Linked DNA regions of Styela clava. The protein of the gene in region 2 purifies or fractionates together with the protein of the main gene of each other region. This does not show direct contact. Links are inferred from orthologs where the notes say so. Each region holds a gene or a part of one and is shown on either strand. Other genes may lie near its edges. The genes, in order: ubiquitin thioesterase OTUB1-like and deubiquitinase OTUD6B-like.

Region 1 (7,757 bases), on a different chromosome or scaffold from region 2:
GACGAAAAAATTAAAACTCCTAACTGGATCAAAATGTTCCTAACCACTAAAATTGCCCAATAGAAGAAATGATAATTATTGAATTTACCCCTTTACAGAAATCTTCAACAGTTCTATACTCATCAACAAAATTCTGAAAAAATTCACTGTTTTGTTGTAAATGACTTGAAGTAACCAATCGTAAATAAACAACTAAATAATTAGAGATTCCTTCATCTCTGAATGTTTGCAAAAGTTCTTCTACCGTTATTCCAGATCCTACAGAATCCACAACTGATATAAACTGAAGAGAAAAAAATGAAATAAGGCAATGATCAATGCAAACTATTTCACAAACTCCCCTGAAAGTTTACTATGCAATTAACATGGCATCTTCGGCAAAAAGCATCAGTTTAATCACATAGTGTAACATGGCCTCTCGTTCGCTCACATGTCGATATGGCTGTAAGGATGGGCAATGTACAATGACTTACTATTCTAAAATACTTCAATCCAATCATATTCTGTTTCCATAGTTACCAATATTTGTGTGAGTGAGAATTCCCCATCACATTGCTTGATTAAAAATTTAAAAAAGTAAAATTGTAGCCTAATGTATTACTATCTTTTTTGTACATTTTATTTCATTCCAAACAGGCATTTCTCAGGACAATGAAATTCAAGAGAAGGCGTGTCATAAAAGTACAGTATTTGAATTACGACACTCGCAAATATTATTTGATGTTAATTGATCGTAAACATTGTTATAGCATTTAACATCTGGCTTTCCGCGAAAAACCATTTAATGGAAAATGAAACATGGTAAAGTGAGTATCGCCAAGTGAGATAGTAAAGTCGGAAAACGCGAAAATGTAGCAATAAAGAGTACTCGTTGTGGTATGTTTGCCGTTTTTACGCTCGTCTTAGTTTCAATACGTAGAAACCGGTAATAAAAAAATTTACGCTTGGAACCGAATCCTGTTCTCAGATCCTTCTGGATTCGAACTCCAGACGATTCAGTATTCTGAATTGACCCGGTATGGGATTGGCTAGTGAGTTAATTGTTTCATATGCATGGGCTTAATGCTATATTTTCGAAACTTACTTGATCATGAAAATCTTCCACAGTGAATGAAGGATAACCTAATTTTTCTAATTTGTCTTTGGTTTCTGAAGCTTTTGCTCTGAACCTGGTGCAATAAAGAGCAACACGTTGATAATCAATCTAGTATATTATATACAGTAATAAATTCTTTGATTAGGATTAAGGAGTCATTTATAGGGATATTTTTATGGAAGTAGGCGAAGTACTAAAGTCTTCTTGATTCGTCATAGGCTATTTATGACAACCAGAGTGTGTATTTGAAATATTCCATGAGACTAGGCGGTTAGTGCATGATGTTAAGTGTGAAGATTGCGCAGCACTTGTGAACTGTAAATCTTTAACATGGCAATCTCCCAAATTATTAGATTGTTGCATATATCTGTTGTGTGTGTCTTCATTTGCAATGTGACAAAATCTTACCCAGAAAAACAATCTTTATTTTGCAGCAGATACTCAAGATAACCAAACCCAAAAGCTCTATAGAAACAATTACCATCTCCCCTTGTCTTCCTAACATGGCTGTACTTCTCTGAAAGAATCTGAAAAATTTGTGAAAAGTACAGTTATCAAGAATGCCATAATAAATGTAATGATTCCCTATTTTAAACTGGATAAAAATAAGGAGAAAATGTATTTGATATGCTTCAAATATATACATAAACATTTCTTTATCACAGTATTCCAATCTAATAGAATGTGTATGCTCAAAAACCACTTCTAAATAATTTACACAAGACACAATGTAAAATTTATGAACATGGGGTTTTATTTGGTGTAGAAATTTCCTCATTTGTGGTAAATCCATACAAGTATAGCTATTAGTGTTACTTCCATAAATTCAATAGCGGGCAACAAAAATATAATCCAAAAAAGCAATATGAATTCTGAATTAAACGAGCAATTTTCTAACTATAGGAAAGCTAACTAACAATACCTTCACTTTTTGTAAATATACAGCATCATCTTCAGCATATTCGTTTTGTAGTTGCATGATTTCCATCTTATCACTAACCAATTCGTTTTCTTTTGCTATCTGTTTATAAAACGGAAGAAATATGAGGATAGTAAAAACAATGAATTGTTCATCCCTGGTGACAGCGACTCTGTTGTCCACAAATGAAGATAGATTTGACAGCATGAACACTTATGAAATAACGGTTCCAGATAGTTTAGCAAATCATATATGCCATATTTGTTCAAAAACTATCTTAAACAGAGCAAGAAAAAAAATTGTCTTACATCTTTCTGTATTTGATTATGCATTGCATATATCGCTTCATCAATTTCCTGGTTTTGCATTGCTGGAAAATGATAAGTGAATATATTATACAAAAAAATAGCAAAAGCATCGAAGTGTAAGGTACAATTCCCTAATCCTCGTGTCATGGGTCATCCAAGTTGATCTCCGAGTTTTGGTATCACTGTTGATTACAAGTTTGAGTCATTTCATTTAGCTGACTCTAGGACACCGGTTCTCAACTAGAGGGCCATGGCCCACGGAAACATTTTTAGATGGGACATCAGTTATTGATGAATTGGTATCATTTACCGGAATTGAGTGGTAATTTTCATTTTGATTAAAAAAGTGGCATTGTCTATTTTTGCAGGGAGGAATTTTTTTTTATTTAGTTTTTCTCTTGAATGAGAAAGTTGCTGGGCCACAGAATTGTTTTTGTGCAACGAAAGTGCGCCAGAAAAGAAAAAAGGTTGAAACCATTGCTCTCGTCTCTTTGATTCATTAATGAATGCTTACGCTGGCCTCTCCAATACCAGGGGTACCCTTCTTCTATTTGAAATTAATGGTATAATAAATCCCATTCCAGTAAAATTTTCTAGGTATTTACCATGGCTACTACATATCTAGTTGAATCTGAAATATACGAAGTTTAAAATGATAATAAAATCCCTTAAAATCAAAACTTCATGTATATTCATTATACCTTGTAAAATTGCACCATCCGAATCACTTGTGTCCTGTTTGACTTCTTCATCGGATTTACTATTACTGGTTGCCATCATGAGATGGAATAACAAAGAATTATTTATATTCTGCTAAAAGTCAAGCAAGTAAAATTACAGAGAAAGATAAGCTATTTAACACAGTCTATAGATTGCACTCTGGGCATTTTAAGCATATGTATTATAAAATAATCTAGAACTAGACATGTGATTGAGGAAGGTTTTTAGAAACGATTATAAAATTTTTCTTATATATTTCTGTGATATGATACGAAGAAAAGTTGAGAATGCCTAGCCATGACAATGTCATACTATTGACTATTGAGGGACATTGATATAATATGCAATTTATGTTTATGGGACATTGGGACAATAGTAACATATACTCCATTTATAATATTTTATGTGATATGATTTGAATCAAAGACATCCAAAAAAGACTAACATAGTTAAGCATAAACAATAGCATCATTTTAATACATTGCTCTGTATTATTAACATGATGTGAACGGTATTTCTAATTGCACTATATGAAATATTTAAAAGGTATAGATTTTATCATCAGGTTACATATGCTCCCAGCAAAAAGCAGCAATTTACAAAGTGTTGTACCATAAGATGCAATAAGTACGGAGTAAAAATGTATAGGAGAATAATTAAAAAAAAGTGCTATCATAAAACATATGGAAGATAAATTACATGTTGACTGCAATATATTTGCATCATATACAAGTGTCAATTCGACCTCAGTTAGCAGATCAAGGGGCTAAGGCTTTTGGTATCCACTCTCCCGCAGGACCACAAAAATGGTATTTAAAGTTCATGGTTGCAGGTGTATCCTCCAAATTGAACTCCGCCACAGTAACACCACGGTAAGATAACATCGGAGCAAACATGGCAGCCGGGTAAACAACAGACGATGTACCAACAACCAGACAAAGATCACATTTTTCAAGTTCTTCGCCTGCTCGCTCGAGAACTTTTTGATCTAGTCCTTCACCAAACCAAACAACATCGGGCCTCAATAATCCATCACAACTTTTACATTTCGGCAAATTTTCGACTGGTATTTTTGCATCTTGAGCAGTTGGGTCAGGAGCACCCCGATCTCTCAATGCCTCACAGATCGGAGAATCTTTGTTCACATCCACTTTTCCACACTTTGTGCATCGAACTCTGAACAATGATCCATGTAATTCAATAATGTTTTCAGATCCTGCTGTCTTGTGGAGCTCATCTATATTCTGAGTAATGACAGTTAATTTCCGAGCATTACTCTTCAAACGACTTTCGCATTCTGCGATAGCCAAATGCGCAGGATTTGGATTTTTTGTTATCATGACTTCACGACGGTAATGATAAAATTCCCAAACTAATGATGGATTAGATTCAAATGCTTTTGGTGACGCTAAATCCTGAGCCTGCCATTTTCTCCAAAAGCCACCAGCTCCGCGGAATGTGGGCACCCCACTTTCTGCACTTACTCCTGCGCCAGACAGCACAACAATATTCTTTGCTCGTTCAAACTCTGCACGGAAAGCAGCCAAATCCGAACTTGGTCTTGCTGCTGCCATGGTGTAAATAGATATCGAAGACTTCACAATTTGGTGTAAAATACTTTTACATGAATTAGAGAAATGTAGAAAACATTTCATACTATTATAGCACTAAATTAGTACTAGTTTCTAAATTAAAAAACCATTATTTGCCATTAATAAGAATTTTAAAAAATATATCATTTTGCTAAGATAGGTGATTGCTACTTGGGTGCATTATCCTATTTGGTAAGAGATAGTGTTTGAACATATAGACGAGGAGCTATAACTGAAAAAAGGCAATATGCAACATATGCATATAATAAAAGGTCGCTGCTAAAACCAATAATAAATTATTAGCAGAGTTCTATAAGATTGTAAATCGATAGTATCCAACAGCATGAGATTTTCATAACAAGATATATTCAATTAGGTTCCATTACATTTGAACCCACGTACATTTGAACCCATGACAATTGCTCCTGTATGCTATTGCACCTATGGAATTTTTTTTGTTAGTTAAACCCATACTAACCCTAACCCATGGGTTTTAGCACCCGAATATAGATTGAACCTGTGGATATACGCATGGGTTCAAATGTACGTGGGTTCAAATGTACGGTCACCATTCAATTTTGCCCGAATTTCATTGTTTCTATAACGAAGATAATGCTTTGCATTTTTCAGATAAGAATCTACTTGATAATAAATTAGTTGTTTTTCAATCTTTGTGCTTGAATTTTAACATTATTGAAGAAATACTTGAAGACATTTCTCCTGCTGATTTGTTTTGACCAAAATATTCACAAAATTCCCCATCAGGATTTAATAAATACATTATCACAGTATGGTCTACAATATAATCATCTTCCGAGTCTTTTGGACCTTCAGCATAATAAACTCTAAAAGCTCTTGAAGCATTTTCAACTTGCTCACGATTTCCAGTCAAACCAATAAGATTAGGATGAAAATCAGCAATATATTTTTTAACAGCATCAGGAGTGTCTCTGTCAGGATCAATACTTATAAATAAAGGTTGAACGTCTGGCAACTGCGGAGTTCTCTTGATTGTATCAACAACATTTCCCATTTTTTCTAGTTCTTCAGGACAAATGTCAGGACAGTGGGTGAACCCAAAGTAGATAAGAACCCATTGACCTAAAAAGTCGCGATTACTGCATTGTTTGCCGTCTTGATCTATAAGAGTAAAATCTCCCCCTAAAGCTGGTTTTCCCATTGACTTTATCATATTAGATTCAAATTTCTCTTCTTTTTTCGACTTGAAATGCTTCATAATAAGGATAGAAATAGAACCTACAGTTGCAATAAACAACACAGACATCCAACCTACACCAGGTGCTAGTGTTGGCGACCTACGTTTTCGAATTGGAAAATATAGTCTTCCTGAGGTAGAGAATTGTTTTTGAAATACTTTTGTTCTTGATGGATTTACAAAGTTCAAACATATATTTTTTGACTTGGCCAATGTTCCGTAAGTACGATGCTGTATGGCATAGCAATGTGGGGATATAGTTTTTAGCAAACACAGTAACCTCATTCTTATATGTTTCTACACAAAAATAAAACAAGTATAGGATTTTCATATTTATCTTGAGGGAGAAGGAAACACAAATAGATGACTTATCATATGGCATACCACAACCTCTCATCTGGTTCCTCGTTCATGTTGAATATGGGGTTAGTTTCGATAGCCAGTTATTTGTTTCAGACGCATGGACTTGACAGTGGCAGTACGGCACACTATCCAAATTCCAAGAATGTCCCGTCATTTGGTTCAATAAAACAAACACTCCATGTGTCTCACAAACGAGGGGGCGTCTGGCACGACGGTAGATGGATAATTATCTAAATTAATTGCATCCGTCATGTGACTAAAATTGCCATTTTTTTCTCAAAACTCTCGAATGCCACGGTAGAAAATATTTTCCTTCTGTAAATGGGATTATTTTTCCCAAAGGAATTCAATGATGACGTTTTTAAATTGTGCTTCTCTGTAGTTTTTTGCACAACTTCATATTGAGGGACAACCATGTCCAGACGTCCCCAAAGGAGGGGTGTCTGGTCATCTGTAAAACGGGTTTCTCTGAAATGAGACAATGTCGCTCGATCTGTATAGTGTGCCGTACTGAGTGAAGTCGTAACAGACTAGCGGGTAAATACATCGCACCTGTCATCAACGGATTAGGGAAACGCCATCAAAAATGGCTGATACTGTTATTTCACAATTTATTATGAGATTTGTCTCATATAAATAAATCTATACTCTCAGTCTCAGACTCTACTGCAAGCTACATACAGACATAGTCTAGCTCTGAGAATGCTAAATCAATAATTAATTATAAATATTCTATCAGCAATTATGCATCGAGGTAGACTAAGTGCTTGTGGACTTCGCATATGCAAACCAAAAATGTACATATAACCAACTTCTTATATAATGAAACTTGGAATGGTCACAGGCGTAGGCCACAATCATACAATCCATGGGATTATGATTTACATAATTATTATTACAGATAATTCTAGTCATTTCTGCATTTAAAGTTACATCTCGACAAACCAACCTGTTATTATTTAATGAAAATCCTTGCAACCTGTTACAAATGAGTGTTCAATCCTAAATCAGTGAATGCAGAATTTTGCAGAAATGTTCAATTCGCGTTTTCTCTCACTTGATGGGAAATGCTATATTTACTTTTGGTGCCTATTGTAATAAAATGCAATTTTCTTCAAATGCCAAAATATGTCACTTAAGTGAAGATATATATATCTACCAAAAAGAAAGCGGAACAACCAACCAATGAAATACAACTATTTTGTGACCACGCATCGGCGTAGTCTTTTACAAAGAACAAATAGCGAAGCACGAAATCGAACGCCCGCATTCTGACTGCCTTTTTACCCGGAGTGAGGTAATCAGCATCCAGATTTCCACTACCATACATATAGTCAATAGTCATACCAGCCAAAGTGCCTATAACACTTTGATACCAACGGCCGGCAACCAACTTGCCTAATGTTAAACAAGTTTGGGCCACATTTGGGAAACGCGAAACAATGGAGTCTTATGGAAAATTTTTGTCGTGTTGTTGTACCGAATCGAATAAGTCAGCTGTTATAAGGACTAGAATCGAAACCGACGGGTGGATTTTGAACTT
Region 2 (6,601 bases):
TGAGTTCCCTTTGCATGCAGCAGTGTGTTACATGAACGCCATCATTTGAATTTATTCCATATTCATATGAAAGAATCCCATTTTTGCAGGCAGAAATCAAGACAAACAAATTTTCAATAGAACCATTGGAATTGTGTACATTCAAAAACGAATCTGAGCAAAGTTCACCATCCCAGATGTCTTTCTGGTTGTAAATTACTGCCATAACATCTGCATTAGTTTTTACATATTGATTTGTTAATAATATCGATGATGCACTGATATTTTGTATTTCAAGATCCTCAGCTGTAAAAACGGTTTCATCATCACTGTTTTTTGACATCTTTATGGAAATCCATGTCTTTTGTCCAAAGAGTTTTGGTAGTATATGTTCAAATTCATGTTTCTCCTTGGATTCATTAGAAATCCAAGTTCCCAAGGGACGTAGTTTGACAGTATCATGCAGTTTTTCATATTTAGAAAGGTAAGCATTCAAACTCTTTGGTGTAACGGGAAAGTGTACAACGGCAACAACATATAATACAGTGTCGTCATCATTTGAAGCACCAATCAATATTCCTGATTGTGAACGGATGCAACATTCCGGTAGAAATATTTCCTTCAACATTTGAACTCAGATTCTTGCATCTAGATAAAGTTTCACGCACTACTGTTCATGCCCATTCAGTAAAAACAACAAAAAAAACATGATTATGCCATTACGACACTGATTTAGTGAATCAAAAGCTTTATTAATGTTTAAAAATTCTTTATTCAATTCAAATGTTGTGGATGAATTGAAAAAAATTTCAAAATCTCCATTAACTTATATTAAATCTCACAATTGGATTTTAGAATCATACTATCTGGATGTATACAATCTTATCAGTATCTATTTAAGCAACATGATTGCTGATGAAAGCAGCAATATATAACTTCAAAATAAAAGTACTCTGCAATTATAGACTAGATCCACATCAGTATCAGTAAACTCAATTACTGACTGAAGTTTAAATTGAATCAGAAAGCAATAATGCTTGTTACGCACAATCTCATTTAAAATTTCACTACTCATGATAAGGATCTATAATGAAATATATAAGGGCTCTTCAAATTGAGGGTCCCGACCCCCGATGGGTTACGGAAGGGCTCAATGGAAGTAGCGGTATTTTTCATTATTATCAAGTACTGACAACTTACATTAAAACGAAATATCGATCAAATTTGGAACCAGTATTGAGACCCAAGCAAGATTCGACTTTTTGTGCGAGAATATGCAAGCACATCGATCTCATTAAAGGCATTATAAATTTTATTACCGGTACTTTATTTTAATATTTTCGGTATCATTAAATTTTACATTTTTTTTATTATAGTTACTGAGGGTCGTGAAGAAATTTTGCCATGCCAATTGGATCGTGATAAAAAAGTTTGAAGAAAACTGCATTATAAAACATATTCCAATTCGTCCGTTGAATAGACATGTGTGAGACTTTGTATCTGGCTATAAACCGTCATGCACAAAAAATTAACAACAATATGCTATGATAGTCCATTTGAATCAGGTTTTGATGGTTGAACTGAATTATAGTGCTCGCCCAGCCCCAGCTCATGTCTATGATATGTTAGTATTAGTGGATTTCCTTTATATTCCTCACCAATTTTTACAGTGGGCATGTCTGCTTGTATCACATGAATTGAAGTCTGTAAGATATGGGACAAAGCTCGCAGTTCCAATTGACCACCCCAAGCTGTAGTCTCTGCAACATCTTTGCAATACTGTTTGAATTCCTCAGGAGAATAACAATCGCCTGTATCAGAACTAGTTAGAAAAGGGGAAAAATCGTCTTCATGAGAAAGCATAAATGTTGATGTCAATGTTCTTAATTCTTTCGGTGAATGTAACATCATCAAATTCATCTTCAGCTGATCTACAACTGCATAATATAGACAATTACCATCAGGTATCATGGGCTTCACTTTTAGACTCATTTTTGTTAATATGGTCTTGATTTTTTCCTCTTCTGCATATCTTTGTGTGTTAACATAGTCCTTTTCAGCTTGTGCAGCAATTTCAGCTTGTTCTTTCACTTTCAAAGCTTTTTTTTCTCTCTTCTTTTGCGCTTTACTAACTCTTTGTTGAGAAGGTTCTGATCTGCCAGGTTCATCATTTTCATTAGTAGCCTTTGAAGTATCGGTCATATCCTCACTATTCATTAGCTCCAATTTTTCTGTCAATTCAGCAATTTCTTTATCATGTTTCTCATAAAGTTCACTTTCAAGAATTGCAATTTGTGCTTTCATCTCTTTGTTTTTCTTCTTATCTCCTTTCGGAACTCCCTTTTTCAAGGATTGAATTTTCCCTTGCAATTCTTTTTTCTCCAATTTATGCCTGGCAGACAATGCCTCCTGTGGATCATCGATATCCTCGTTATCTGACATCTTCTCTTTAAATAGAGAACCCAGAAATTACAATCCTGAAAAATAACAATATTGACTATTATTATAGGCAATAAATTATTTCTTACAGACTGCAAAATGAGAATTTTTTAAATATTGATCTCGATAGCTACAAATAAAAGGACCTGGATTGAATATCACACTCAGAAGAAAGGTGCACATCCTAATAATAAGTGATAGACTATTACCCTTGAATTGTTATCTATGTTCAACCAAATATGTCAAATGGACTGACTTGTAGTATTTGTGGCAACGCACAAAACACTATTTCAAAAATCTGTATTTACAAAGCAGCACATATTTATAACAAGCAAAATGAAAATGCCGATTGTCAAAAACCAACAAATGTGGTCTTTTGCATTAGCGGACAAAAATGAACCTTCACACATTTAGAAAAATAGGATGTTTGATAGTAAGCAAAAAGGGTCATAGTCTGGTTTAAATCATGACTTAATGCTAAAAAAGTCAATATAAATTTCATCTCAGTCCTACTTCCAGTCCTAAGCAACCTTGACTCTTGTCGAGAAGAATATAAAAAACAAATGTGAGTGAAAAAACTCGTTAGAAGTCCCTGATATAAATTACAATTAACATTGCATTAACCTACGCTAAAGCGTATCATATGGTTTCATAGTAAAAAAGTAATGGATTTAACTTGAATCACGACCCAATGTTTGTATAAACTTATTGTCAGCCTGGATGCATAATTCTTATTTACAAATTTGTGCAGGAATATGCAGGTATGATTGAATTCATAGTTGAAAAAATACATTCTAATCATCATCGCTGGATGTGTTACTATCATCACTTCCATAGGCTCCGAGCAAACTAAGCCCAGCCGGTTTGGCTAGTACAGTATCTTTTAGAGTTTTCTCAGTTTTAATCACTGACATTGTTTTGGTTAATTCTGATTTATCCTCAGATTGATGATTAAAATTATCTATTTTTGGGAATTTTTCGATCGACTTTTTTACTACAATACCCAAAAGCTGGGCCTTTTTCTTTATAGTATCCTTATTAGAAGGAACAGAAGAAATACTTTTTGTGCTTTTATTAGTAATTTTTGTTTCTTCTGATGACAATAATAAATCGGAAGGGGCATTAATTTCTTCTTTCACAATATTCTTAACATCAGATTTGTCATCTTCATCATCACTATCATTCAGTCGTCTTATTTTGTTACTCCCAAAAATAGTCTTCATTTCTTCCTCATCTTCTTCTGCTTCTCTCTTTTTTTTTTCTTCCACTGTTTCTTGATAGCTCTGTAGCATTCCTTCGTAATTGACCTAGATACACCAAGAAATTCATATAAATTAGAAATATTCACTCTCCTCATTGCACAGGGATGGACAAATCTAAATAGTAATGTAAAGTTTTACTTTGTGACTTCAAAATCTGTGATACTAAAATTGCTCAAAATAATAATTTTTCGAATGGGACATTCTAAATTAATCCAGAAATCAATTTTAAATTATTATAAATATTTAATTTGTTTTTTAACATTCTAGCCCTCGACAAACATGAAATTTTATAAACACCTCATTGTATGCTATTTATTTAAAAACTGGGAGTCAAATAAAATTTACAAGATACAAATATAATATACAATATGGAATAACCACAATCTTATGAAGTAACAAATTCTTCAATGTCATCGAACATCATATTGAAAATCCTACCTTAGCATGTCGTTGATTGAGATCTCTTAATTCTTCAAGATTTTCCATTCTCTCCATTTCTCTTTTTGAGTCCCTTGTTCTCATTTCAAGCAGTTTCATTGGATTTCCTTCATCTTCTTCCCTTTGTTTCTCGATTTCTTTCTCTTGTTTTTGGAGAAGTTTTTCTGCCTCAAAATTTCGAGTGGCACCATGTTCAATGACATAATCTGTATTCTCAGGATCAGTTTTGAATGTTATTTCAGCAACACATTTTGTGCATTTGATATAAAATCGAAAAATTCTCAAACCAAGATAATCATCATCTTGGACAGTTTCTTTTCTTGAATTAAATTTTGTTCCTTTGTAAATGTAATTTCCACAAGTCTTACACCGCATATGAAAAGGTGCCATAACACGTATTACATATTGTCTATCTTTAGCTAACTTGAGCTTGGGTATCAATGAAGGATCATAATCCGGGGGATAGTATTTGTTGAGAACTTTTCTCTCAGACATGGCGGATCAAGACGATATTACCAGCAATATCTGAATATACTGTACCGTAGTCTACTTGCTCAAAATATAACGCAAAAAATAAACAAATTTTACTCAATAAATGCTTGACACAATGACTCACAGACCCACAAAAATGACAAAAAATATTTTTAACAAATTTAACAAAAAGTTCTCAATACAACGACTTTCAAATTTTATAGTATCAAACAGTCCAATTATATTATGGCGCAGCGGTGTGGCTCAACGGGCTAAGCGTTAGGAATACGCTCGCCACCGCACCTCTAATCACTCTGCAAGTCCAAGTCCATGCTTCTGAAAACAAACAATATAACTAATCTCATACCCGACTTGGAATGGTAACTGGACGAGAGGCCGTGTTTCGCCATATGGATAAGCCGTCTTATCGGCTTTCCTCTCCCCCGGGATAAATATGTAAATCCTATCCTATCTCAGACCCCCGTCTCGCAAACGGAGCGACTACACGTTGCATCGTCGCAGAGTAGTGTTGCGATTGCGATCCTGGTATTTTTTTTGCCAAATAAATTCCAATGGACCTTTCCCCGAGCATCGACTTCCTTGTTTACCTCGTGACATTGGCTAATCAGCAAGATGTAAAAAGTGACGTAACAATACCCCATTTCCGCATCCGCTCAGACACTTTTCTCACAGATTGTTGTATGCGATGAATCATAATGATGGTTTGAAACATATACCCCAGTTGACAGGCGCCAACTCGCAAAAGCACTCTTAAAATAGCCCCGGAAATTTTGCAATGGTAAAGTATAAGAAAAATTTTCCGGGGGTCAAAGGTCGGGGAAAGATCCATGTCAAAACAGAATTGTTGTATCGAGAATTTAGAAGCCAATCGTTATATTTTAAATATATATATTTTTTTTGTCAAGTGGAATATCGAGTTCGGAATACAAATGTATTATTTGAATTCCGTTTCGGTGGAGAAAAATAGGTATACAATACCCATACAAAGATTACATCATATTTCACATATTCCATATCAGCAATTCATCGTAGTTACAATTCAGTTGTCTCAAATTCATCACGGTGAAAATAATTAGATATATTTTATATTAGCATGGAAAAACAAAATTTTTAAAGATTAGACAGAAAATATGAATATCTATCATGCCAATAAGATTTTCCTATTTCCTGTCTAACAACAGAATCTAGCAAAAACCCAACTAATAATATCCTATAAAAAAATGCAACATTAATTAAACATTTCACATGTATTTGAATTGAAAAAAAATTTCAACTTATTATGGATCATCAAGAAAATTTTGTCTGTCAAAATTCGACATTAATTTGATAACCCCCAAAATCTTACATTTCATTTTTGGACACGAAATGGACATAGCGATCGTTTTGTTTTATGTTGCGCTTATCTTGTTGTTTTGAAGAAATTGCTTTTCTCTTTGATTACTGAACCAATTGCTTTGAAATTTTCAGTGGTTAAAGATAGAATTTTTCTCCAGGAGGCTATTATCTTAATTTATTTCAAAATTTTCTACGGACTTCAAGAGATTCGTTTTTTGTGTGCGAATTGGTAATCAGAATGAAAAATAGCGGCATCTTGTGGCGATTGCGGCGAAGAAGCAAACGTGATTCTTGCTGCTAAGACGAAGAGTTGTTGTGATCTGCGCGGTACAGGGTTGCCATATTGGCTTTTTTAACGCCAAATTTGCCATTTTTGGCTTTTTTCAAACGCGTTTGGCGTCAGAATTTCCGTTTGGCTTTTTGGCGTTTTCTTGGCTTTTTTCAAGTCTATTCTAGTGTCTATTATTAGAATCATATGAAATACAATATTTAGTGTGTAACAACTGAACAATAGCCTATTACCTGTACTTAGCTACTTAACATTAGGATTTCCTGGAACATCGATTTCCTTGTTTGTTACATTGACTCTTAACCATACCGAATATTAGATAATTGCAGTTTCTGCAGCTGCTCAGACAGATGTTCAAGCAGGGTTG

The links.
Region 1: the proteins of deubiquitinase OTUD6B-like (region 2) and ubiquitin thioesterase OTUB1-like fractionate together in Homo sapiens (co-fractionation; 4 studies listed by BioGRID and IntAct, with this or other methods). This does not show direct contact. The link is inferred for Styela clava from reciprocal best matches to the Homo sapiens genes OTUD6B and OTUB1.

Annotation. Positions count from the first base shown.
Region 1 is NC_135260.1:14,936,744-14,944,500, reverse strand, and holds the start of ubiquitin thioesterase OTUB1-like, read right to left. Parts: upstream 3,164-7,757; 5' UTR 3,104-3,163; coding exon 3,025-3,103; intron 2,386-3,024; coding exon 2,324-2,385; intron 2,118-2,323; coding exon 2,019-2,117; intron 1,624-2,018; coding exon 1,505-1,623; intron 1,170-1,504; coding exon 1,085-1,169; intron 284-1,084; coding exon 89-283; intron 1-88. Other genes in the region: NAD-dependent protein deacylase sirtuin-5, mitochondrial-like, read right to left, coding at 3,802-4,698; protein SCO1 homolog, mitochondrial-like, read right to left, coding at 5,300-6,136. UniProt on the Homo sapiens protein: Hydrolase that can specifically remove 'Lys-48'-linked conjugated ubiquitin from proteins and plays an important regulatory role at the level of protein turnover by preventing degradation.
Region 2 is NC_135255.1:3,218,386-3,224,986, reverse strand, and holds deubiquitinase OTUD6B-like, read right to left. Parts: upstream 2,422-6,601; coding exon 1,522-2,421; 3' UTR 647-1,521; downstream 1-646. Other genes in the region: phosphatidylinositol N-acetylglucosaminyltransferase subunit Q-like, read right to left, coding at 1-607; splicing factor YJU2-like, read right to left, coding at 3,213-3,725, 4,119-4,613.